Linked DNA regions of Macaca fascicularis. The protein of the gene in region 4 interacts with the protein of the main gene of each other region in a pairwise test. Links are inferred from orthologs where the notes say so. Each region holds a gene or a part of one and is shown on either strand. Other genes may lie near its edges.

What was found.
Region 1: the proteins of AMOTL2 (region 4) and BRMS1L interact in binary tests that used the Homo sapiens proteins (3 or more experiments, as listed by UniProt). The two-hybrid records come from large-scale screens. The link is inferred for Macaca fascicularis from reciprocal best matches to the Homo sapiens genes AMOTL2 and BRMS1L.
Region 2: the proteins of AMOTL2 (region 4) and THRA interact in binary tests that used the Homo sapiens proteins (3 or more experiments, as listed by UniProt). The two-hybrid records come from large-scale screens. The link is inferred for Macaca fascicularis from reciprocal best matches to the Homo sapiens genes AMOTL2 and THRA.
Region 3: the proteins of AMOTL2 (region 4) and SMARCE1 interact in binary tests that used the Homo sapiens proteins (3 or more experiments, as listed by UniProt). The two-hybrid records come from large-scale screens. The link is inferred for Macaca fascicularis from reciprocal best matches to the Homo sapiens genes AMOTL2 and SMARCE1.
Region 5: the proteins of AMOTL2 (region 4) and GSTM5 interact in binary tests that used the Homo sapiens proteins (3 or more experiments, as listed by UniProt). The two-hybrid records come from large-scale screens. The link is inferred for Macaca fascicularis from reciprocal best matches to the Homo sapiens genes AMOTL2 and GSTM5.
Region 6: the proteins of AMOTL2 (region 4) and MFAP1 interact in binary tests that used the Homo sapiens proteins (3 or more experiments, as listed by UniProt). The two-hybrid records come from large-scale screens. The link is inferred for Macaca fascicularis from reciprocal best matches to the Homo sapiens genes AMOTL2 and MFAP1.
Region 7: the proteins of AMOTL2 (region 4) and ZGPAT interact in binary tests that used the Homo sapiens proteins (3 or more experiments, as listed by UniProt). The two-hybrid records come from large-scale screens. The link is inferred for Macaca fascicularis from reciprocal best matches to the Homo sapiens genes AMOTL2 and ZGPAT.

The regions. Positions count from the first base shown.
Region 1 is NC_088381.1:103,691,900-103,694,359, reverse strand, and holds part of BRMS1L (breast cancer metastasis-suppressor 1-like protein), read right to left. Parts: intron 2,145-2,460; coding exon 2,018-2,144; intron 1-2,017. UniProt on the Homo sapiens protein: Involved in the histone deacetylase (HDAC1)-dependent transcriptional repression activity. When overexpressed in lung cancer cell line that lacks p53/TP53 expression, inhibits cell growth.
Region 2 is NC_088390.1:61,131,610-61,135,883, reverse strand, and holds the start of THRA (thyroid hormone receptor alpha), read right to left. Parts: upstream 2,801-4,274; 5' UTR 2,673-2,800; intron 1-2,672.
Region 3 is NC_088390.1:61,716,169-61,719,668, reverse strand, and holds part of SMARCE1 (SWI/SNF-related matrix-associated actin-dependent regulator of chromatin subfamily E member 1), read left to right. Parts: intron 1-2,973; coding exon 2,974-3,146; intron 3,147-3,500. UniProt on the Homo sapiens protein: Involved in transcriptional activation and repression of select genes by chromatin remodeling (alteration of DNA-nucleosome topology).
Region 4 is NC_088376.1:37,277,584-37,281,083, forward strand, and holds part of AMOTL2 (angiomotin-like protein 2), read right to left. Parts: coding exon 2,814-3,500; intron 1-2,813. UniProt on the Homo sapiens protein: Regulates the translocation of phosphorylated SRC to peripheral cell-matrix adhesion sites. Required for proper architecture of actin filaments.
Region 5 is NC_088375.1:124,616,040-124,619,968, forward strand, and holds the start of GSTM5 (glutathione S-transferase Mu 5), read right to left. Parts: upstream 2,801-3,929; 5' UTR 2,768-2,800; coding exon 2,732-2,767; intron 2,445-2,731; coding exon 2,369-2,444; intron 1,938-2,368; coding exon 1,873-1,937; intron 1,565-1,872; coding exon 1,483-1,564; intron 1,385-1,482; coding exon 1,284-1,384; intron 108-1,283; coding exon 12-107; intron 1-11. UniProt on the Homo sapiens protein: Conjugation of reduced glutathione to a wide number of exogenous and endogenous hydrophobic electrophiles.
Region 6 is NC_088381.1:20,401,585-20,405,084, reverse strand, and holds part of MFAP1 (microfibrillar-associated protein 1), read left to right. Parts: intron 1-1,602; coding exon 1,603-1,822; intron 1,823-3,500. UniProt on the Homo sapiens protein: Involved in pre-mRNA splicing as a component of the spliceosome.
Region 7 is NC_088384.1:119,824,018-119,827,973, reverse strand, and holds the start of ZGPAT (zinc finger CCCH-type with G patch domain-containing protein), read right to left. Parts: upstream 2,801-3,956; 5' UTR 2,721-2,800; intron 2,292-2,720; 5' UTR 2,264-2,291; coding exon 1,683-2,263; intron 1-1,682. Other genes in the region: ARFRP1 (ADP-ribosylation factor-related protein 1), read left to right, coding at 2,987-3,040, 3,697-3,795. UniProt on the Homo sapiens protein: Transcription repressor that specifically binds the 5'-GGAG[GA]A[GA]A-3' consensus sequence. Represses transcription by recruiting the chromatin multiprotein complex NuRD to target promoters.

The DNA.
Region 1 (2,460 bases), on a different chromosome or scaffold from region 4:
CATACTTGTAACTCATGTCAGCCCTGGCTTCAGAAAATCTTTCAAATACTAATCTCTAATTCCCAATATCAAACCATCTACAGTACTTTTATACCAGTTTTTTTTTTACACTACTAATCTTTACATAAAAAGATCTACTTCTTGAAATAGATGTATATTTTATTCTTTTTTAAAATTATATATTTTTTATTTATTTATTTTGAGACAGAGTCTCATTCTGTCGCCCAGACTGGAGTGCAGTGGCGCAATCTCAGCTCACTGCAACCTCCACCTCCCAGGTTCAAGTGATTCTCCTGCCTCAACCTCCCAAGTAGCTGGGACTACAGGCACATGCCATCATGCCCAGCTAATTTTTGTATTTTCAATAGAGATGGGGTTTCACAATACTGGCCAGGCTGGTCTTGAACTCCCAACCTCGTGATCCACCTTCCTCGGCTTCCCAAAGTGTTGGGATTACAGGTGTGAGCCACTGCACCCGGCCTAATTATTTATTTTTTAAAGAGTGAATAGGAATTTTTTTTTTTTGAGACTGGGTCTCTCTGTCACCCAAGTTGAAATGCCACAATCAGGGTTCAACCTCCCAGGCTCAAGTGATCTTCTCACCTCAGCCTGAGTAGTTGGGACTAAGGGTACCTGCCACCACACCCGAATAATTTTTTTATTTTATAGAGATGGGGTTCTCTACAAAAAGACCAGCTAGGGCTGGTCTCAAACACCATGGCTCAAGTGATTCTCCTGCCTTGGCCTTCCCAAGTAATGGAATTACTACAGGAAAGAGCTATTCTACCTGGCCTCATCTCTTTTTAAACAACTCTTATGCTAAGTAGTGGTAAAATATCTCAAAAACAATAAAATAAATAGAAGAATCCAGGAGTATCATATATAAACTAGTAGTTAGTTCAATGAGCTTCTATGAGAAAAGCTATTATACACAATGTCCTAAAAATTTAAAGACAAAATTATAATCTTACAATTAAAACCACTGTATTTGGAAAATGTGTACTGTAGACTAAACTCAAGTTGTTTTATTTACCACCGATACCTACAAAACCACATTTTGTTACCACAGAAGGTACTACTCTGAGAATTATATCCTACATCACTGGAGAATGAAAGATGATGAACATTAATATTTTCAAAAGGTCACAACCACATAAAACTTAGAAGGCTATATAAATAGTTTTATAAACTTTATTTAAGCCTAGACATATTATTAGGACTTTTAAAAGGCAGTTTTCAAGTTACACTTCATTGTTGTTGTTATTGTTAGAGAGACAAGGTCTCACTCTGTTGCCCAGCATGGAATACAGTGGTGTGGTGAAATGAGGCCAAGAGCCTCAAACCCTTGGGCTCAAGCGATCCTCCTGCCCAAGCAGCTAGGACTATAAGCACACACTGCCATATCTGGCTAATTTTTTTTATTTTTTGTAGAAACAGGGTCTTGCCAAGTTGTCCAAGCTAGTCTTGAACTCCTGGCCTCATGCAATCCTCCTGCCTCGTCTTCCCAAATTGCTAGGATTACAGGTGTGAGCCACAGCACCCAGCCCTAGGTTATACTTTAATTACTATTAATCTTAAGGGTTTTATTAATTTTCCATTTATTTCCTACTCTAATTGATACAAATTCTTTTTATCTAAAATACTCTAACACATCCAAAAAAGTTAAAGATTACTAGTTCCACCAAAAATTCCTAATAGTCTGGTTTAAGGGTCATTATAGCACAATCCTAACAATTCATCTACTAGAAGAATTAAGAAACAGGATCAGCTACCTGGCTAAATAATTTCAACATTTCCCCTTGCATTAAAGTTTGTGTTCATAAACTTAATATGAAGTCTGGTTCATACATATTAACACTGCAGTCCACACATGATGTAAGCCATATGTCAAGTGAAAAAAAAGGATCCACAAGCAACTAATGATATAGGTACACTATGGAGGCAGGAAATCTTTCATTGACAACAATGTTGTAAATGACAATACTGAGCAACACTGAAATAATAAAGGCTTTTTTACCTTGTAGGACATTCATCTTTTTTATCTATACATATTGTTTGTCCACGTATATACCATTCACCATCATAATACAGTCTTCCCTCTTCAGATCTAGCACTGTGCAGATGTTTTTCCAGTTTCACAGGTGCTAAAGGGATCAGTTCAAAAACCGTTATATTAATAAAACACTGTCAGAAGAACAAAGGGTCCGAATATTAAGAATTAATATCAATCCATGCATATGTAAAAAAGGACTAAAAATATTTCTTAAATAACAAACCTAAAATGTAATAAAAAGATTTATTTCTTACATTCTTTTAAATAATCATTAAGTTTTTAATATAACTACTAAACAAAGCTAAACAATGAACAATAAATCATCAATTGATTAATCAAGTACCAGAAGGGGAGGCAGGTATGTTATCAATTATTAGTGCTAATTTTAAGTAGTATATAAAATATAA
Region 2 (4,274 bases), on a different chromosome or scaffold from region 4:
GCTGGCCACAGCTGCAGCACTAAGGAAGTGCAGGAAGTCCTGAGCAGCCAGCTGAGCCCCCCGCCCCCCACCCCAACCTCAAGCTGACCCCAGAGGCTGCACGGGGGGGGGGCCGAGGGGCGGAGCTTGGGTATTAACAACTGGAAAAGTATGAAGAACATTGCTGCCAGTCCCCAGCTCTGAGACAAGGACAGGGGTAGACGGGGGGTAGCGACAGGGCGAGAGAGAGTTACAGACTGGCAGAGGAAAAAGGAGAGAGGGAGGGAGAATCAGACACTGCAAGACAGAACAACAGAAAGAGAAACAGAGTTAGAGAGAAATTCCAAGTCAAAAATACACATCACTCATACAGACACTCGCCAGCCGATGGCCTCTTAAGGAAAGCTTCCAAGTTTGGACAGAAGGGTCCAGGTGGGAAAAAGGGCCAGACTCAAGGTGGGATGCAGGAACTCAGCTGGGGGTGACTGACTGTTCCCGGGAAAGGCCCAGGCAAATGACTCAGAGCAGGGGCAGTTAGACACCCCAGAGCTTTTAGGGTAGGGAGAAGAGCAGCTCTCCCCTCCCCCAGCAGTCAAGAGAATCCCAGCTTCTAGAAGTCACTGGATACTGCTTTGAGCCCATGACTCGGCCCTCTGGAACCCCCCTGAACCCACTGTCTTTGCTCTTGTTTCTCTGTCCCTCTAAAGGAAAGAAAGAAAAAAAAGAAAAAAAAAAAAAAAAGCCCATTCCCGCACAGTGGCTGAGCCTAGAGGAAAAAGGGAGGAGGAAGCTGAAGGGGAAAAGTCTGTGATTGTGTGCATCTAAGTGTGTGCTTGGCTGCACAGGCTCCAGTTGTGTGCATCTGGGGTTGTGTGGACACGACTGTTGGTGTGGACCTGCAACTGTGGGGACCTGGGCCTCATGAACTCGTTCTGTACCTTAGTTCAGGGGACCATGTGCAAATGAGTGCACCTGTGTCTGCAGGTTCCACAGTCAATCAACTCACAAGTATTTACAGAGCAGCCCTTGTGCTAGGCTCTGGGTGGCATCCAGAGCTCTTTAAGTGATTCTCCCAGGTCTCTAAGAGCTCACTGTCTAGTAGGGTGGTATCTCAATCGATAGAGACCAAGAAGATGTCATTAGGAATGCAGGCTTTGCACCATTACGCAGGAACACCTTTTCATACAGCCAAATTTAATATTCTTGGGAGCAAGGGTTTTGTTGCCTGCAGAACCTCAGAGTTCCACAGTAAGAGTCCAGGAAAATACTTGTTGCTAAGTTGTGTATACATGTGTTGATGTGTAACTGTGTTTGCATCTGACTGAGTGATAGCGACTGTCACGGCAAGCAATGATGTCTGTGTGACTGGGCTCATGCGAGCACGTGTGTGCCTGTGAGTGACAGGGTCTTTTGTAATTGTGCGGCTGTGTGCAATTGCTCTGTGTGCATGCATGCATGTGACAGTGACTTTTTATGTGTGGGTGACAGCAACTCCTCCTTGCCCCAGTGTGTGACAGCATCTCCGTGTGACCCTGTGTGTGGGTGGGTATGTGCATGGGTCGGTCCCCATGCTCTTGGTCTCCCGTGGGTATATCCCACCCGTCTGAGCTCCACGGTGCAGCAGCAGCCTGCCTCTTCCCTTGTCCCCATGTGGGTGTGTCCAGTAGCTCCTGTCCTTGAGTCCGCCTGGGTGTCCCTGGGTGTGCATGTGGCTGTCTGTGTGGACATATCTCTGTGTCTGCATGTCACTTTTGCTTCCCCCCCTCATTTTGGACAACAGCCCCCTTCATCCCCTCCCCCTCCTGGAGCCAAAGGCAGCACTGAGGGGCAGGCTCCCACCTCGCTGTCTTTCCTTCTGTGTCCCCCACCCCCACCCCTGGAACGGTGGTTCTTTCAATTGCCCCTGTCATCCCCCAGGCCTTTCTTTCACGCTGGACAAGGGAGGGCCCCACATGCAGAAGGGGCACCAGAGACACGTTGCAAGGGGAGGGAAACAAGGTGGGGTACACAAACAGGTCCATTTCTCCCTGTCCTCCCCAGCCAGCAACTCTCCTAATCATCTAGGCACCATCAAGTACACCCCCTCCACACACACATTCCCCCCAACAGCCGCGTTTTTGCAATTAGGAGTGTTGCAACCAGACAGCCATGCTCAACTGGGAGGCGGGTGAAGCGAGGGGGGGAACTTCCCTCTCCCAGGACCCGTGCAAGCCCACCACCGCCACCGCACTCATACTGCCCTCCGCAGCTGGAGGCAGCTTTGCAAAGGCCACTCGGCCTCAGAGGCTAGGGGTGGGGGCTGGGGGGGGCAGGCCTCCGGCGCACCGTAAACAAACCGCGGCGCGGCGGGCGGGGGGAGCTCCGGCGGCCGGCAACGGGGCCCGGCCCGGGAATGCGCAGCAGACTGGCCGGACAGAGGCCGGGCGGGCCCTCGAGGGGGAGGCTCGGACGCCATCTCCGCCTGCGAACCCCGGGGCCCACCGACCTCCTACAACACCTCCCTTCCCCAGGGCGTCAGTTGACGCTCCCGGGCTCGTGACAGGGTCACTGGGGTGCCGGGAAAGGCTGAGGCTGGCAGCGGGTACCCCCTGGGCGCCCCCAGCCCGCCTGGGAGCTGGCCACGGAGCCCCGCGGCTTTGCATAATCAATCGCAAGGCATTTGCATATTAATGCCCTCGCTCCCTCCTCCTTACCTCGGCGTGGCGCGCTGGACCGGGCTGGGCAGCGACGCGGGGGTCTCAGCGCCCCGTGCTGGGGGCGTCCATGGGGGGCCGGTGGGGCCCGGGCCGCCCGCCTCCTGCGCCCGGGTGTGAGTGCGAGTGAGCGCGGGGGGGGCGGGGGGCGAGTGTGGCGGCCCCGCGGCTCCTCCGGCAGAGGCGGCGGCCGCTCTGGCTCCTCCCTCCCCCGCCCCGCTCCGGCTGGGGCTCGGGCTCGGCGCGCCCGGCCGGCTCGCGGCTGCTCCCTGCAGGCCGCCTCGCCGCCGCCCGCCCCCGCCCCCCGCCCCCTGCCGCGCCCCGGGACCCCCGCCAGAGGCCCGGCCGCCCCTCGGCCGCTTCTGCCCCGCCCCGCTCTGACTCGCCCTCCCCCGCCCGGGCGGCTCCCGCAGGAGTGGGTACTTGGTGACATATTTTGGAAAAGATGTCATTAAAAAATAGCCTTTGCTTGCCGGGAGAATTGGGGGGTTTTCGGGTGTGCACCGTGGGGGTGGAGGAGGAAGTATCGACGAGCCGCCTGCACCTTATACATGGGGGAGAAAGTCTAAACACCAAATGCTTGCAGGTGTAGAGTTTGTTTGGGTGTTCGGGTCCCTTCTCCGCCAGTAACTCACTGTGTGACCTTGACAAATCGCCACTGCTGTCGGGGGCAGAGCTTCCTCAAGCTTCAGGTGCGAAGGCTGGGCAGGTGACCCCTGATGTCCTTTTAACTTCAATCATCTTACGTTTTTAATCCTTGTGGGGGCTCATTCCCCGTTACCTCCCTCCCCTCTCATTTCTAACATCAATACCGATCCACTGCCTCCCCTTTCCAACGTCACCCTTCTCCATATAGGCTCTTTCTATTCTCTGTCACCAGCCATTTCCCCAACAATCTGCTCCCTCTCCTGCGCTGGGGAGGGGACAAGAGCTGCCATACCCCCTCAATTCCTAGCTCCCTGGTGGTGGTATTTCCCCCCATGTTTGCTCCCACGAAAATCCAAATGGTACCAGAGTCAACCTAAGGAAGACGGTGGGCTGCGTACAAATGGACCCCCTAACCCAACCCAAAGGAGAGGTCTCCACCATGCCAGCCCCACCCCCAGCACACACATACACACACCACACACCTGCATTCATGGACATAAAACCAACCCAGTGACGCCAGAGCACCTTTCATCTCAGGATCTCCTAGCGCCAGGCTGAGCCCTAATTACCCCAGCACCCCCCTGGCCCCGCCGGTTCCCCTGCTGTCATTAGCCCAGTTTTACCAGCGGGGGCCACGGCCTTCCCACGGCTCTCAGGGTGGGGCTCTGGCTACACAGTCTGCTTTTGGGGAGGGGTGCGTGTGTGTATGCGAGTGTGTGTGTGTTAGGGGGAGCTGCTCGGCTAATCGCCCAGTTTATACTGGGCAGAATCACTTGGTGAGTGTGGGATTCTGACCCACAGCTTACCCAAGTTGGGTTGCCCTTGCTCATGTCTTAGTATCAGCCACCTGCATCCTCAGTGCTGTTGAAGCCACTTCTTTCACAGGGGGTACTGGAGTTTGTAATGCTTGGTGGAGGGGAGGGTACCTCTCTTGGGGTCCCTGGAACTATGGAG
Region 3 (3,500 bases), on a different chromosome or scaffold from region 4:
TTTTAACTAAAGCAGGAGGATTGCTTGTGGCCAAGAGTTTGAGACCAGCCTGGGCAACACAGCAAGACTCTATCTCTACAGAATACTTAAAAATTAGCTGGGCATGGTGGCTTGTGCCTGTAGTCCCAGCTGCTCCAACTGAGGCTGAGGTGGGAGGATCAATTGAGCCCAGGAGTTCGAGACTGCAGTGAGCTATGATCATGCCACTGCCCTCCATCCTGGATGACAGAGCAATACCCAGTCTCAAAAAAAAAAAAAAAAGAGGGCATGTGCAATTATCTACACAAGACAATGAAGGCTTTTGTTCAATGAGAGCCTCTTCATGGGATAAATAGCTGTTCAATTAGATCATAATTAGAAAAGCCATTCCCCGAAAAAAGGAAGCAGATGACTTACATGCAAGGAAGAACAAGCCCAAATTCTTAGACCTTATTACCCCATCTGTGGTCAACACTGGGGCCATATAAATGAAAGAAGAAAATAAAAAATAACAAAAACAGATAACTTAGACAGACGTAGCACAGATATACCACATATAACCCTAAAGGTGAAAAACTCTTAAAAAGTAGAAAGATTACAGAGTTTTTAAAAAACTGTATCTTACCTAATAGTTTTAATTTCAGAAGTTTATTTCCTAAAGGAATTACTCAAAAGGAAAGAAAAGTAATTTTTTTAACTTTTTACAAAAACAACAGTTTTTAGCTATAGTATTTATGATAATGAGAATTTTAGGAACTGCTTAAGTGCAAGACAATAAGAGAGGTGCTAAACTGACATAGGAGCACCACAAAGGCCTCTAACAGGGTTCCCTCTAACAGGCTTTCCTCTGTAACAGGCTTCCCTCTGTAACAGGGTTTCCTCTGTAACAGGGTTCCCTCTGTAACGGGGTTTCCTCTGTAACAGGGTGTCCTCTGTAACAGGCTTCCCTCTGTAACGGGCTTCCCTCTGTAACGGGCTTCCCTCTGTGACGGGCTTCCCTCTGTGACGGGCTTCCCTCTGTGACGGGCTTCCCTCTGTGACAGGGTGTCCTCTGTAACAGGCTTCCCTCTGTGACAGGGTGTCCTCTGTAACAGGGTGTCCTCTGTAACAGGCTTCCTTCTGTAACGGGCTTCCCTCTGTAACGGGGTTTCCTCTGTGACGGGCTTCCCTCTGTGACGGGCTTCCCTCTGTGACAGGCTTCCCTCTGTAACAGGGTGTCCTCTGTAACAGGCTTCCCTCTGTAACAGGCTTCCCTCTGTAATGGGGTTTCCTCTGTGACGGGCTTCCCTCTGTGACGGGCTTCCCTCTGTGACGGGCTTCCCTCTGTGACGGGCTTCCCTCTGTGACAGGGTGTCCTCTGTAACAGGCTTCCCTCTGTGACAGGGTGTCCTCTGTAACAGGGTGTCCTCTGTAACAGGCTTCCTTCTGTAACGGGCTTCCCTCTGTAACGGGGTTTCCTCTGTGACGGGCTTCCCTCTGTGACGGGCTTCCCTCTGTGACAGGCTTCCCTCTGTAACAGGGTGTCCTCTGTAACAGGCTTCCCTCTGTAACAGGCTTCCCTCTGTAATGGGGTTTCCTCTGTGACGGGCTTCCCTCTGTGACGGGCTTCCCTCTGTGACGGGCTTCCCTCTGTGACAGGGTTCCCTCTGTGAAAGGGTTCCCTCTGTGACAGGCTTCCCTCTGTGACAGGGTTCCCTCTGTGACAGGGTTCCCTCTGTGACAGGCTTTCCTCTGTGACAGGGTTCCCTCTGTGACAGGGTTCCCTCTGTAACGGGCTTTCTCCTCTGTAACGGGCTTTCTCCTCTGTAACGGGGTTTCCTCTGTAATGGGGTTTCCTCTGTAACAGGGTTTCCTCTGTAACAAGGTTTGCTCAAGTATGGTTCCTCCCTGTCTGGTGGGACACTGAGGTGATTAAGTGGGTCAAAAAGGAGCATTTGTTTTGTATGTATTGCTACAGAGAAAGCTTTTTTTTTTTTTAATGAGTTAGTTTAAAGAAAAATATTAAGTAAACAATAGTACAGGCTGTTAGTAGATATATGAAAAACTATGAAGGCGATAGAGCAAAGACTGAGATTAAGGAAACACTAGATACCTATTAAAAATAAGCATATAGGGTGTGCGCAGTGGCTCACACCTGTAATCCCAGCACTTTGGGAGGCCAGGATGGGCGTATCATGTGAGGTCAGGAGTTCAAGACCGCCCTGGCCAACATGGTGAAATCCTATCTCTACTAAAAATACAGAAATTGGCTGGGCATGGTGTCATGTGCCTGTAATTCCAGCCACTTGGGAGGCTGAGGCACAAGAATCGGTTGAACCCGGGAGGTGGAGGTTGCAGTGAGCCGAGATTGGGCCACTGCACTCCAGCCTGGGTAACGGAGTGAGATTCTGTCTCAAAACAAAACAAAACAGAAGCATATAAACCAGACCCGTACAGCTGGCTAAGTGTAAACTGACAAAAATTAAATTTGGAATCAAAACATTTATTTTTCTTCTATAAAATTCCTTGAGGGCCTGGGAAACTGAATATTGTTAGAGATGATGTTTCCTCTGCTGTGATAATTTTACGAATTGGCATTTTCATAAAGTCACTGCCCAGTTCATATGTTGTTCGTTAGTTGTTAAATGCCTTAAGTCACTACCAAGAAAGTGAAACATTGGGCAGAATTTCAATTACTGCCATCACATGCAGCCTTCACATTGATTCCAAAGCCAGAAGAGACATGTTGTATCTCATTTATGTTTTAGCCAAAGCCTTCTCAGACACACATCATCACTTAAAGACTGTGAGATAAATTACTACCTTGGCCAGTGAACACATTACGTCCTCTGTATGGTTTTTATCAAGTAACTGCCCAGTGCTCCCATGACGCTGGTCAGGTCCCCTTGTTAGGCCAGCAAGGGCCATGGTTCCTTGATAATTAAGTGTTAACATGTTACACTCCTTTTTATGGTTACTGGTGACCTACTTTGCAGAACAATTTGTTCATTGCAGATTATGATGATGGCTTTTCAATGAAGCATACAGCCACCGCCCGTTTCCAGAGAAACCACCGCCTCATCAGTGAAATTCTTAGTGAGAGTGTGGTGCCAGACGTTCGGTCAGTTGTCACAACAGCTAGAATGCAGGTCCTCAAACGGCAGGTCCAGTCCTTAATGGTTCATCAGGTAAAGTCATAAAACTTTCAATAAAATGGACCTATACCACAAATCCCAGCTGACGTGATTCCTACACCATGCCTAAATGTACCTGTTAAATATGTCAGTCTAAACTGTTCCTGATTTGGAGAAGAGGTTTAAGGAAGTGGACCTTTCCCAAATGTTTAATAAGTTTGTCATTAAAAACTATAATATAGAACCTTGTAATGGAAGGTATATTTGTTAAGAAGTACATGTGAACTTAAGAATTTTGAGGCGTCCTATCAGTCTTTACTGCTCTACTAAATACTTTTTCCAAAGGAATTGCTCAGGCCTGAAACAGTATTCTTTAACATTTACCTATTGATCATAATCATTTCTTTG
Region 4 (3,500 bases):
AGGCATATTGGGAAGATGGTTATTATTCATAACTAATATTTATTAAAATTGCTGCAGATAATTATTCAACCCTCAAGTGGTAGGCAGGGACCAGTGGGGAAGGCCTTTTCCAAATGTTTCTGCCTAAGGCTCTCAAGAGTCAGACAGCAGAGCTGGAGGGGATTAATGTCAGGATGCTTGTTTCATACCCGCCTCACAGTGGCTGGGGCCTTGGAGATCAGCCTGAGCAATCCTGGGCCTCCTAAGCAACTAATGCTTAAATATGTCATCTTGAAAAATGCACCTTGACACTTCTAGTCAATGGAAGGTTCTTTTTGGGGCTGGAGGCCATGTCAATCATGACTGAGCATATAACCTTCCAGGGCCCAGGACAACTTGGTGGCTGGGCCCCAGCAGCAACCTTATGTCTATTACATGAGTGGCCAGTTTCAAGACTGCCAAAGCAGCACTCATTTTCTCCTTTCTATTTCAAGTCCTGCTACCCCCAGCCCCCACCCACCCAGAATCATTTTTAGAAGACTCCAGTTAAGGTTAGAACAGTGAGACAGATGTCAGGGTAAGAGTCTGAGCTCTAGAGTCTGACAAATAGGGGTTTAAATCCCTGCTCCAGTTGTTTAACCTTGGGCAAGTGCCTCAGCCCCACAGACAGGGCATTGCTCTGTTGCATCATGAGGGTCTCCAGCCTCGCCAGGGTTTGTGAGGATGATGCTATGTAAGGCCTGGCAGAGTGCGGGGCCGGTGCTGGGTGGGTGGCAGGTGCTCCTGTAGTGGTGGCCCATCCTCCATCTCTTCTAGTAGGAACCTCGGTTTACCCTCAGTTTAGAGAATAAATGTGGCCCAAACTCTGGGTTTCCTTGGGAGTAAGGGCTGCCTCTGGACTACTGTAGTTGCTGAGTTCAGGGGACAATGTTCTATTGGCCTCTGGCACTGGTGTAACATCACCCATAGGGCTCCGTATTGAGGGAAGGAGCAAAGGGCGAGAGGCACGGGGAGTTCAAGAGCCTTTCTGGGACCTTGTGATTCCCAGTGTCACAACTGCCGCAGTTTCACAAAGATTCTTCCAAGTCCCAGAAGCCCCACAAAACCCAAATTCTCCTTCTAGGTGCATCATGTCAGCACTCATGCACACCCAGCCTGCCCCTGCCTCCTGCCCCCATACAGCCTATGGCCCCCCTGCTCTTCTCAGGACCCTAGGCTAGGAGTCTAGCCCCAAGTTCCTAACAAATAATCTTCATCAGATCATCCGAAAGGGGATATTGGGCAGATGTATTTCTCCTACTATCTAAGATGGGGCTTCCAGTAAGAGCTGGGAAGAGGGTCCCCACTGGAGTACTCAAACTCTCCATTCCACTGCTAAAATGGCCATTCTCAAGGTTGCTTCAAGAACTTGCTCCCCCCTGCACTGGGCCAGGCAGACACAACTGGCATTCTTTCGGGATGACTTGGCTCTGAGAAAGAATAGCAACTCCTTTCCCTTCACACTTGCTTTCCTTTCTCCCCGTCCTCTCCCTCCCCCGCTTTTTGTTCTCCTGCAAACAGTCTACTTCCTTGCCACGATTACTATCTTTTCCTGACAGAGTTCAATAAGGCTGGTCCAAAAGAAGAAACCACCACTCAGCTTCCGAAACTCTTCCTGACCGAGCCCTGAGAAGGGCGATAAGGTGCGAGTCTGGAGGGGGTGGAGGCTGGAGAAAAACCAAGAGGCTCCATCCTCTGTTCCGCCATACCAACCCCATCATGTCACACATTTCTCGAGAGCAAGGAAAGGCCGGACGGTGGGAAAGTGGGTGACTAAAGGAAAACTCAGCAGGCATGAAGAGAACCAGACTTTGACCTTGGGCCACCAGAGGAAGAGTCTGAAATCCTTGGGGTCCCTTGGTGGGGTTTCTTGGACTCCCACAGGGGGAGATGCAGCAGTGATGGCTGTGTCTGCTTCTCTGAAAAGATGCGGGCCAGATGAGAAGCCTGAGGTGGGGCCTTGTTTCTAGGAACACTCATTTCTCCAAACTCTCTAGACTTCTTGCCTCCCCCAAGTCTTCCTGCTTCCATTTTGGCCCCTCACAAACCATGCTCTGCATGGTAGCCAGAAAGAGCACTTAGAAAAGGAAAACCAAATCACATCCCCCGAGGGCCTCCCAGCATACTCAGAATCAAACTCTAAGTCCCTGCCCTGACCCAGCAGCCTCTCCTGAGCCTCCCCAGAAAGAGGCCCACCCGGACCCAGAATCCTGTCCCACTGCAGGCTGCAGATGCAGGAAGCGTACGGCAGGAAATGGGGAGGAGAGACAGGGAAGCTCCTGCGCTGGTGTAAGATGCAGAGACGTCTGTAATGAGGCCACCGGGCCTTTCCAGCTTCTAGTTAGGAATGCCTCCCAATAATCATAGAAGGCAAGTTGCTCACATTTTCTTAAAAAGCCTCCAGAGAAGGAGGTCCCACCTTCTTCCTACTTAACTTGGAAACAGTTTGGCAATGATTCCCAACCTTGCCTTTAGGAAGTTATTTCTGAAATCTAACCTTTAACCGCCTGTTGCGATTTGTGTCCTCTGGGGACGGTAGTTACTAGAATGCTCAAGCTCAGCAGACAATGGTGCCTATCTCTGAACTAAGGCAAGGGACGCCACTAACTTCTTAGGGGACCTCAGTTACATCTCTCTTCTCTGCCAGGCAATAGCTCTCCCTTCTCAGGAAGCCTGGAGGTGGGGTGGGGATCTGGCCAGCTCTGACACAAGCTGTGATCTTGAGGCTCTCCTCCCTGACAGCCTGTGCTGGAGGATAAGCCAGGAACTGGAAAGCCCAAGGTGGGGAGAGTTACCTGACTTCAGCGTGCTGGAAGTGCGGGCTGCCGCGGGCACGGTACCGAGGGTCAGTGACAGCAGTGGTGGTCTCATGAGCTAGTACAACGTGAGGGTACTGAGGTGGGGGTCCTCGGGACTCTGGGCCCTCAGCAGGGGGGCCCCTCAGTGGGGGGCCCTGCTGGCTGCGGGCCAGCTGTGGGAAGCTGTGGGAGGAGCTCATGTGGCTGGGGGCCCGGGCGCCGTTCCTCTCCAGGGACAACTGCAGGAGCCGTTCACTCAGGGAGCGCACGTGCCCGTGCCTCAGCTCCCGCAGGGCCTCATCCTGCCTCCGACTGCCTCCGGGGGCCCCACGGGGATCTCGGTCCCCTGCATGTGGCCGGGGCCCCACCTGCTGGGCCGCATAGTACTGCGAGTGGGCTTTGGCCTCCTCATAGGTGGGCAGCTCCTCTCCCTTGCTGGGCTGTGGGCACAGCCGGTAGAGGGTGTTCTCTGCCAGGTGGTTCTCACCGCCCTGGTGCTCCTGGCCCTGGGGCTCCTGCCTGGTGGCTTGCTGCAGCACCTGACTGTCCTCTGGTGCCAGGATCTCCAGGGAGGCCTGGGGGCTCCCTGTGCCCCCAGTTCCTGCCCCACCCCTCAGGGCCTGCTGCTGGATGGCTAGCAGCGTGCGTGTCTCAGTCAGGTTGCCATAGCGCAGCTGCTCCTGG
Region 5 (3,929 bases), on a different chromosome or scaffold from region 4:
TCCTCCTTTACCTTGTCTCCTGTAAACCATGGCCGCTTCCCCAGAAACTGTGAGTAGAGCTTTAGCTTTTCAGGGAGTTCCTCCAAGTATTTTGGCTTCAGTTTCTCCTGAGGCAGAAAACAGCTGTCACCACCCTCAGACAAAAGCTCCCTGCATAGACATGGCCTCCCCAGGGCTGTGGATGGCCCAGGCTGGCCGTGGGCAAGCAGCCGTCTTCCCCGCAACTAAAACTGGGGCAGTGCCCAGGCTTCAACTGGATACATCAGCATTTATTAGACTCTGACTGGGTGCCAGACCCTATCTGAAGTGATCAGAAGGCAGAGAGGAATGAGATGCTGTCCCTGAATCTGTCCTCACTGTCCTCCCAATGGCCTCTGGGTCAGCCCCAGGAGCGCCTGAGCACCTGGCAACCTCTGGACCCAGACATGGGCAGAATCAAGGATGCAAAGAACTACAGGAGCTCAGGGAAAGAAGTAGAAAGTTCCTTCTAATGCGGTGGCAGAAGAAAACAATGAACATTGAATAGTTTCCAGGGAGATGAGAAATTCAGGTTGAAAGGAAGAAGGGAGAGCCACCCTTTGACTGGCTCTGAGCTGTCTGTTATGAAAATGTGTGGATCCCTGTGCATTTCAATGACAGCACTTGGAAACTATTGAGAAGATGCAATTCAAGAGTGCCATTACATTCCTCTATCTTGTACTTGAGTCTATATATTCTAGGAGCAGGTAAGTGACGTGAACCAGCTGACAGAAATGACCCATGACAGAGGCCAGAGGCGATGAAGGAGATTCTGAACATGAACTTTATCATCTAGGAATTGAATTTCTATCCTGGGATGCCTGGATCGTGTCCTAAGATTGCTGGGAATTGCCTCTGCTTTTGTTGACATTGGAGTCGTGAGAATAACTGTTGATAGTATGGGAAAGCACTTGGAGGATGAGTGGTACCAAGGACTTAAGGAAAGACCAGTGTGTGCAGGAATGCAAGAGTCCTGGCCCCAAATCCAAACTCTGCCAGGTGCAGATCACTGGGGAGACTCACAAATTCTGGGTTGTAGCAGATCATGACCAGTTGCATCCGGTTGTCCATGATCTGGTTCTCCAAAATGTCCACACGACTCTTCAGAAGAGGAGATGATTCATGTGGATGTTTTGTAGAACCAGGCTATAGACGTTTCCAATGAGCAGGCCAGGGTCCGCTACAGGCCTGACTTTGTGAGTCCTTCTCTGCTCTGGGCCAGAAGCCAGGGAAAGGGGTGACTGGGAGTGGGGTGCAGGACTCACAAAATTTGGGTCAAAGCAGAGTCTGACCATCTCCATGCGGCTGTCCATAAGCTGGTTCTCCAAAATGTCCACAAGAATCTTCTCCTCTTCTGTCTCCCCACCTGCCACCCACAAAACACACTCACTCTGAGCATCACACCCCAATCCAGCCAAGGAGGAGGCCACCTTCCCCCCACACACTGCAGCCAACCACACTCACACAGGTTGTGCTTGCGGGCAATGTAGCGCAGGATGGCGTTGCTCTGGGTGATCTTGTGAGTCCCATCAATCAAGTAGGGCAGCTGGATGAATGGGAAACCGCGGAAGCTCAGTTGGGCCACCAGGCCCCCCAGCATCCCCATCCCATAAGCAAGGGCAGAGAGGAGACCGGGCACTCACTGTGCCTGCTCATGGCAGGCCTGAAATAAGAATACTGTCATATGGACGAATGAGCTTGGACACAGAACATCATGGAAGGGCTGTGTAGACAGCCAGGAGTGAGGGAATTGGGCAGAAGACTCCTGATCCTAACCCCTCTAAGCTGGGAGAGGAGATGCAGTCAGAGACACGTTGCACTTGCCCCCAAAACCGCCCCTTCCCCTGCACCTACATTGGGAAAGTCCAGGCCCAGCTTGAATTTTTCATTCAGCCACTGGCTTCTGTCATAGTCAGGAGCTGTGGTGGGGAAGATGAAGTGAAAACAAACCTCCCCAGAGCCCAGCCCTCCTTCCCCGAGACCCTCTCAAGGAGCCAGTGGCAAGACCCCTGAGACAGGTGGATCTAGAACCTGACCACTCAGCCCCACATCCCAGGGATAAGGGAGAAAGAATCCCGGTGGGGACTCTGGACCCCACGCGACTAAGGCTTCCAGGGTTTAGGCAAGCCCTGAGCGACACCCATCCCAGTTATCCAGACAGGGGACCCAGCATCCCGCCCCAGCATTCTGCCTTGCAAGGCCAGAGGGCTCCCTCCCCGGGACTCAGGGAAGGGAGAGCCTGCAGCTCCAGCAGGGGAGGCCTGCAGAGGCAGCCACAGCTGGCCACCATGGGTTGCTTGGTGCCAACTCAGCGGGAGTGGGCAGGGCCCGGACACGAAGGTGCCATTACCGTGCCCCATCCGGTACTTCTTTTCCTCGTAATTTGAGTCTGTGTATTCCAGGAGCAGGCGGATGGCGTGCGCCAGCTGGGAGAGATGGCACGCATGCAGCTCGGGTCAGAGATGGTGGGTCCCTGACTTGGTGACTTTCTCTGCACCAGTCGAGCCCCCAGTCTACACTGCACTTACCTGTCGCCTCCTCTACCCGCCCCCACCGCCAGACACACACACAGCGTCAGGCACAGGCCCTTCTGAGGGCGACCGCCCTGAAGAGGAACGGTCTCTAGAGCCCTTCCCTCAGCTGCTCCACACTTCCCTCCTCCACTTCCCTTCTCCACAGCCCTCGTCCCACCGTCCAGCGGACCCACGCTCACCCCGCGGATGTCCCAGTACCCCAGGATCATGGGCATGGTGCCTCTTGGTGCGGATTCTGCAGACAGGCCTCAGCCGAGCGGGGCTCAGACTTTATGAGAGACCCAGGGAGGGGAGAGGAGGGGCCTTGCTGCGATCCCGCCCCTCGGCCCGCCACGCCCCTGAAACGCGCCATTCTGAGGCCCCGGAGAGGGCGCCTGGGGCTGGAATCAGTAACACCCACGCCCGCCTCCCAGCCCCGAGGGTTCCCGGAGCGAGGTCAGGGCGCCCAGAAGCCGAAGGCCGGGATCACCCTCGCCAGCTTCCCCAACCCGCCCTGAGGCTCCACGAGTCCGTCCAGCACTTGCTAAGTCCACAGCGACTTGGCCGTGCGCATGAAACACCAGCCAGATCCTAAAGAAGCAAAAAGCTCTTCTCCCTTCTCCTCCCTGCCCGCGGAGTCCCTCAGCCTTCTCTCCGCTGCCCAGTTCCCGCGGGCTCTGGGAGACTCGGGCTGCAGGGATCAGACTAAAAGATGGTGGCCCCAACCTGGGAATTTAATTCTGCCCGTCACTGTCAGAGCAGGACTTCCTCTGATTCGAAAGCTACTCCGAGGGCTTTGTCTCCCCTCTAGCCCCGCCTACACAGGAACGGTGTCAGTGGTATGGGAAGGACCCCCAAGAAATGGGTCAGAGTAAAGGAAATGTGGTCTGTGTTTTCTGTTAGGGGCCCTCGGGTACTGAGTCCTTTGGTCATCTGACTACGTACTATGTAAAGTAGCCACTTCGTATTTTGGCACAATTTATGAATCTAAATTAAAGGATCAGACCCAGCAAGTTGGTGAGGTATCTGAGGTGCCCCCTGGAAATGTCCAGCCAGTCCACTAGGTGAACCTCACATAGACCAAAACAGCAACAGCAGCAGTGAGTACAGTGGCCACAGAGGGCAGGCGAGGGAGGGTGGAAGAACTTCTGGGACCAAACTGAGGGTCAGGCTGCTATTTCTCCAGCCCCAGTAACCAGATGCAGATCACCTGGAGAGGAAGAGAGGTTTTATTTCTGCAACTGGTTACAGGGAGAAGGTCTGGAAATTACCACCAGACCAACTCAAAATTACAAAGTTTTCCAGAGCATATATACCTTCTAAGCTATATGCCTACAAGTGAGTGTGCATCATCTAAAGACATAAGTGATTGACTTCTTTAATCTATAACTAAGTTCT
Region 6 (3,500 bases), on a different chromosome or scaffold from region 4:
TATTTTTAGTAGAGACGGGGTTTCGCCATGTTGGCCTGGCTGGTCTCGAACTCGTAGCCTCAACTGATCTGCCCATCTTGGCTTTCCAAAGTGCTGGGATTACAAGCATGAGCCACTGTGCCCAGCTATATATATTTTTGTGTTTGACACAGGTTCTCACTGTATCACTCAGGCTGAAGTGAGTGCCTTGCTGTGGTCACGGCTCGCCACAGCCTTAACCTCCTGGACTCTAGTGATTCTCCCACCTCAGCCTCCCATGTAGCTTGGGACCACAGGCATACACCACCATGCCCAGCTAATTTTTTTATTTTTAGTAAAGACAAGGTCTAACTTTGTTGCCCAGGCTGGTCTCGAACTCCTGGGTTTAAGCAGTCCTCCTGCCTCAACCTTCCAAAATGCTGGGATTACAGGCATGAGCCACCGCACCTGGCCCCCTCATTAATTTTCTAAGGTTAAACTATTCTTGTAGTCTTGAGCTAAATTCTAATAAGTTGTGTTGGCTTAGGGGTTTTTTGTTTCGGGTTTTTTTTTTTTTGGTAGTTTTTATATCGCTGGGATAAATTTGCTCTTATGTTATTTAATATTTTTGTATTTGTGTTTGTAAGTGAAATCCACCTAAAGTTTTCCTTTGAACTGTCCAATTTGGTTATCAAGGTTATACTCATAAAATAAGTTGGTTAGTTTTCACTGTCTCTCTTTGTTCACTAGAATTGTTTATATTTGTAGGCTGGGTGCTATGACTCACGCCTGTAATCCCAGCACTTTGGGAGGCCGAGGTGGGCGGATCTTGAGGTCAGGAGATGGAAACCATCCTGGCTAACACGATGAAACTCCATCTCTACTAAAAATACAAATAATTAGCTGGGCATGGTGTAGCGCATGCCTTTAGTCCGAGCTACTCAGGAGGCTGAGGCAGGAGAATTACTTGAACCCAGGAGGCGGAGGTTGCAGTGAGCCGAGATCATACCACTGCACTCCAGCCTAGGCGACAGAGTGAGACTCCGTCTCAAAAAAAAAAAAAAAAAAAGAATTGTATTTATAACAGATTACCTACTCTTGCAGGTTTGATAACACATAAGGTAAAGGAAAAGAAGGTAGAAATAAGTAAGATTAGAATATTGAGTCATGTGGTAATATGTTATAAAGGCTGCCGTGGAAATCCCAGAGGGAACTACAAGAATGCCTGAGCAGCATTTTAGTTTTATGTTCCTGCAGAAATCATCCTTACTATGTGGTGGGCACTGTTACAAATAATTTGTTTAAGGGTATAGTTGAGGTGGGATGCCATGAATTTGTGATGGATGCAGTCTGCCTTTTTGCGGGGGACTTTTTTCTACTGTTTCACTGCCTGCCTTCCTCCACTTCATTGTACTCAAGGTAAGCCTCATTATCATCAGTGTTGGCTTTCACAAGGAGGCAGTCTCGTGACTTGGCCTTTGTAGGAAAACACTATTAGATGAATAGATGGTTGGGTAGTGGCTCTTTCTTCTCCTGCTTAGACTCTTGTCTACTATGAATAAAGGGCTCTATTTGCAAAGGCCATAATGGGATGAAGCACATTGAGAAACAGGCTACTGAAACATAGTTATTTTTCTCACCCAGGTGAGATTTCAATGGAAAAAGTGAAGGTAAAGCGTTATGTGTCCGGAAAGAGGCCAGACTATGCCCCTATGGAGTCCTCAGATGAGGAAGATGAAGAATTTCAGTTCATTAAGAAAGCCAAAGAACAAGAAGCAGAGCCTGAGGAACAGGAGGAGGATTCATCTAGTGACCCCCGGCTACGGCGTTTACAGAACCGTATTAGTGAAGATGTGGAAGAGAGGTAATGTCTGTGATTGTGTTTTACTTGAACATGAACCTCTACAGCTTAATAATAATAGCTAATACTTGAATAGTACTGCCAAGTAGCTGACATTTGCTAATTGTTGTAATCCATACAATAGCTTTATGAAATAGGTGCTATTATCCCCATTTCACAAAAGAGGAAACTAAGAGCACAAAGGGGCTAAGAAAGTTACATGACCAAAGTTACAAAGTGGCAGCTTCAGAAAACAGCAGGTTACTTCTGGCCTAAAGGACCTACTCAACTCCTTACGGGAATAGAAAACACAGACCATTCGTTGGCTGTTGAGGGGAGTCTTTTTAGCACAAAGATGTTTTATAAACTTTGGTAAATTGATTTTATACATCTGCTTATTCTAAATGCTAATAAGGGGAAATGACACTGAAGCAGGAGAAAAGACCTCATAAAGGTCTCATTGTAGAAAGTCTCCCAGTGAGGGATTTTGTATGTTATATACTGATTGAGACATTACCTTAATAGAGCAGACCAGGGGTCCTGAACTTTCACCGTTCATAATTGTCCCAGGGGTTTTTTCACAGAGCTCCTGGGCCAAAACAGTTCTGTTTATTTTAGTTAGTAAGTAGTTAGAGCCAAGTAACTTAATAAGTATTTATGTCCTAATAACTTTGCCACTTGAAAATTACAGTGCCCATGGCCGGGCGCAGTGGCTCACACCTGTAATCGTAGCACTTTGGGAGGCCGAGGCAGGTGGATCACGAGGTCAGGAGTTCAAGACCAGCCTGGCCAACTTGGTGAAACCCCATCTCAACTAAAAATACAAAAAAATTAGCCAGGCATGGCAGTGGGCACCTGTAATCCCAGCTACTTTGGGAGACTGAGGCAGAGAATTGCTTGAACTTGGCAGGCGGAGGTTGCAGTGAGCCGAGATCATGCCACTGCACTCCAGCCTGAGTGACAGAGTGAGACTCCGTCTCAAAAAAGAAAAAAGAAAAAATAAATAAAATTACAGTGCCCATGGGGAAAAAAACACTTTTATTCATTCTCACATAACCACAGTTACTAGTGGAATTTGTGTGCCTATTGGACACTGACAGCCTTGCAGACCTTGGAATCAGCACTGTCACTTTTTCATGTCTTGTTTTATATTGATATTCACACTGTACTTTTTACCACAGCAGCCACCAAAACCCAATTTCACGAAGATACGATATTCTCAAAAGGAATGTAATATGACTTAATGTTGAAACTGAATTACCTTGAGCTATTGAAAATATCCCAATGCAGGCCACGCTCGGTGGCTCACGCCTGTAATCCCAGCACTTTGGGAGGCCAAGGCAGGCGATCACCTGAGGTCAGGAGTTCAAGACTAGCCTGGCCAACATGACGAAACCCCCTCTCTAGTAAAAATACAAAAATTAGCCGGGTGTGGTGGTGCACGCCTGTAATCCCAGCTACTCAAGAGGCTGAGGCAGGGAGAATCGCTTGAACCTGGGAGGGGGAGGTTGTGGTGAGCCGAGATCACGCCATTGCTCTCCAGCCTGGGTAACAGAGTGAGATTCTGTCTCAAAAAAAAATCCCAATGCATCCCTATGAGTTTGCTGGCTTGCTGTGGTGCCTTAGGATGCCTCAACATACGTTTAGTATTTCAGGCCAAACTTGGCTATTTGCTCTGACATCCTAGTCTAGTTCCTTTAAT
Region 7 (3,956 bases), on a different chromosome or scaffold from region 4:
CCCGTCTCTACTAAAAATATAAAAAAAATTAGCTGGGCGAGGTGGCGGGCGCCTGTAGTCCCAGCTACTCGGGAGGCTGAGGCAGGAGAATGGCGTGAACCCGGGAGGCGGAGCTTGCAGTGAGCTGAGATCAAGCCATTGCACTCCAGCCTGGGTGACAGAGCGAGACTCTGTCTCAAAAAAAAAAAAAAAAAAAAGTAAAGTTTTCAAGTTGAACTCTAGAGAATAAAACTAACAACAGGGCCGGGCGCAGTGGCTCATGCCTGTGATCTCAGCACTTTGGGAGGCCAGGGCAGGTGGATCACTTGAGCTCAGGAGCGTGAAACCAGCCTGGACAACATGACAAAACCCTACCTCTACTAAAACTACAAAAATTAGCCAGGCGTGATGGCTCACGTCTGTAATCCCAGCATTTTGGGAGACTGAGGCGGGTAGATCACGAGGTCAGGAGTTCAAGATCAGCCTGGCCAAGATGGTGAATCTCTGTCTCTACTAAAAATACAAAAAATTAGCCGGGCGTGGTGGTGGGCACCTGTAATTCCAGCTACTCTGGACACTGAGGCAGAGAATTACTTCAACCCAGGAGAAGGAGGTTGCAGTAAGCTGAGACTATGCCACTGCACTCCAGCCTGGGCAACAAGAGTGAAACTCTATCTCCAAAAAAAAAAAAAAAAAAAGCAGGCACTGTGTCTCACGCCTGTAATCCCAGCACTTTGGGAGGCTGAGGTGGGCGGATCACAAGGTCAGGAGATTGAGACCATCCAGGCTAACACGGTGAAACCCCGTCTCTACTAAAAAGTACAAAAAAATTAGCCAGGTATGGTGGCAGGTGCCTGTAATCCCAGCTACTAGGGAGGCTGAGGCAGGAGAATTGTTTGAACCCGGGAGGCAGAGCTTGCAGTGAGCCGAGATTGCGCCACTGCACTCCAGCCTGGGCGACAGAGCAAGACTCCATCTCAAAAAATAAATAAATAAACAAGTAATAATAATACAAAAATTAGCTGGATGTGGTAGTGTGAGTCTGTACCCCAATTACTAGGGGCGCTAAGGCAGGAGATCAGTTGAGCCCAGGAGGTCCAGGCTGCAGTAAGCCAGGACTGCGCCACTGCACTCCAGCCTGGTTGACAAAGTAAGACCCTGTCTCAAAAAAAATTAAAACAACAACCAAACAAAAAAACAATGACGATAGGTTGGAGACCTATTCTCTTCCACATAAGCCTTGCACTGTTGCTCAGGCTGGAGTACAGTGGCTCCATTTCCGCTCACTGCAACCTTGGCCTCCTGGGTTCAACCAATTCTCCTGCCTCAGCCTCCTGAGTAGCTAGGACCACAGGTGCGCGCCACCACGACCAGTTGAATTTTGTGTTTTTAACAGAGATAGGGTTTCACCATGTTGACCAGCGTGGTCCTGAACTCCTGACCTCAGGTGATCTGCCCGCCTTGACTTCCCAAAGTGCTGGGATTACAGGCGTGGGCCACCGCACCCGGCCACCTTCTATGCTTCTTGATTTACCCCGGAACAAAGACGCAGACGCCTGAACACAGACACTGCTGTCACAAAGCATGCCTGCCCCAAGAAGCTGAGACAAAACTGCAAAGCAAAGGGAGGGCCACCCTGACCCGACCCTGTGTGCGTGCCCCTTACGCCCCAAGGTTGGCATCCTGATAACAAAGGGTTTTACCTGCAGTTCTCCTTGAAGCGGCACTTTCCCTCCAGGAAGAACGGGCACGGCTTCAGAGACTTGTGAGTGGGGTACAGGTAGAGCACACGGACACCCGCCGAACCATCCTCAGCCTCTTCCGCTCCCACCACCATGGCGTTGTGATACTCCAGAGTGCCCCATGAGCTGTAGTAGGGTGCGCTCACCTTTGTCCCACTCAGCTCTTCCTCGTCCTCTCCCTCTTCCTCCTCCTGCCCACCTGCTGCAGATTCGGGCCCCGCCTCTGCTTTAGGAACGGTCTCTGATCCGGACTCAGGGGCTGCTGCTGGCGCCTCCACCGCCTCAGTGATGGCCTCCCGGAAAGCCTGGTACTCAGCATCTTCCCGGCCCGTGCGCTCTTCGTCCAGCGCGGCCAGCAACTTGCTCTTCCTGACAGACACCAGGCTGGCCTCGGTGAGCTCGATGAGCTCCTTCAGGTCCCCCTGCAGCTGGCGCAGGTCCGCCTGCTCAGACGAATCCAGGCCGGCGCCCAGGGCCAGCTCCACCTGCTGCAGCTGCGCACGGTAGGTCTGCAAGGCCGACTCCAGGCTCTCCTCGTCCATGCTGAGAGAGGGAGGCGCTGGACCAGGGCTGCGAGAAGAGAAGCCAGGTGAGCCTCGCGTCTCGGGACCGGCCCCACAGACTGCGGGAGGGCACGGGCACGTCCCCTGTCCCTCGGGGAGACACCGGCTCAGAGGCACAGCTCCCAGCGCAGAGGTCGCAGACCGGGTACCCCCGCTCAGGCTCCGCGCTTCCCTTCCGAGCCGCCCTGGGCTCGCCGCTAGCCGGGTCCCGCGTCACTCCGGAGACCCCCTCCCCGCGGGGCGCCCCGCCGCCCGGCCCTCCGCCGAGCCCACCCGCCGCGCCCGCTGCCTTCCAGGCCGGCCCCGCCCCCGCGCCCGGCGTCTCTGCAGTCTGGCCAAGGCCGCGTCCCCGCAAACCGGGGTCCCCTCTCCCCGGGCAGGGAACCTCCCCCGCGCGGTTTCCCAGCCGCCGCCATAGAGAGCCCGCCGGCCTCACCGGCTAGAGCGGCCCGGCACCCCCCTTTCGTCCCCGCCGCCGACCAGCACTTCCTCCCGAGCGCCGCCACTTCCGGAAGTGCCTGGCGCGCGGGGGCAGCCGGGAAGCGGAGCGCGGAGGCCGCCGGGACGCGTTTCAGCTCCTTCCCTGAGGCCGGCTCTCGTCCCGTCAGGCGCCGCGCGGGGTTAGCGCGGGGTCAGCGGAGGTCAGCGGGGGTCAGCAGCGGCGGCTCCGAGGTCGCGGCGGTCGCAGGTAGGCCGCAGGCTATGCGGTGGGGCGCGAGGCCCGAGGGGCGGCCCAGAGCTGGAGGTGGGACGCAGGTGTGACAGGAACCAGCTTTGGCTGCTTGTCGGCGAGCCTCCAACCTGGCGGCCGCGGCATGGGGCGGCCGTAGCCGGGGTCCCCGACGCGGGTTCTTTCTCCGCGGGAGTCGTTCCCTGCCCGCCGCGCGCCGCCTCCGGGAGCAGCCGGGCCGCTGCGCACCCGCCCTGTAGTCCGCTTCCCGCTGGCCGTCCCCGTTTTAAGAAATGGGTTGATGGGGCGTCCCTGGGGAGCTCCTGGGGAGCGCGCCGGCGGCTCGCTGCTCCCGGGTGGGGCGCGGGGGCCCAGGCGGGGCTGCCGCGAGTGTGTTCCCCGTTCCGCGCGCGTGAAGCGTGGGAGCGAAACCTCGGGGGAGGGCGGGAGCGCAGCGGAGCTCACCGCGAACACCCGGCTGGGTGGTCCCGCGAGCAGGGGAGGGACCGGAGCCGCTGCGGGTTCGGAAAGGTCGCAGTCATTGCTGTGAGCGGAAGGACGGAGTGGCGGCCGGCCTGGGAGGAGTTGCAGGGGTGCGGTGGAGGAGGGAGAGTCGGGAATGGCCCCCAGGCTCTGGTCCTGAGCGGCCAGCTGGACGTGGGGCGCCCCTGACCACCGTGGAGAAGCCCGGGGGCGGGGAGCTGCGTTCCGGCTGCACACTGACACATGTTGGGGCGCCCAGGGCAGGATGTACACGCTGCTGTCGGGCTTGTACAAGTACATGTTTCAGAAGGACGAGTACTGCATCCTGATCCTGGGCCTGGACAATGCTGGGAAGACGGTGAGTGCCCACTCCCTTGCCCGCACCTTTCCCACGGCCGGGTGGCCCCCGCTTCGGTTTTGTGCTGTCAGCTGCATGTTCACTACCCAGATGGAATCCACATTTCACCTGAGACGACAGGATTGTCACCACCAGCTTCCTGAAGAGCAGAGTGTTGCTTT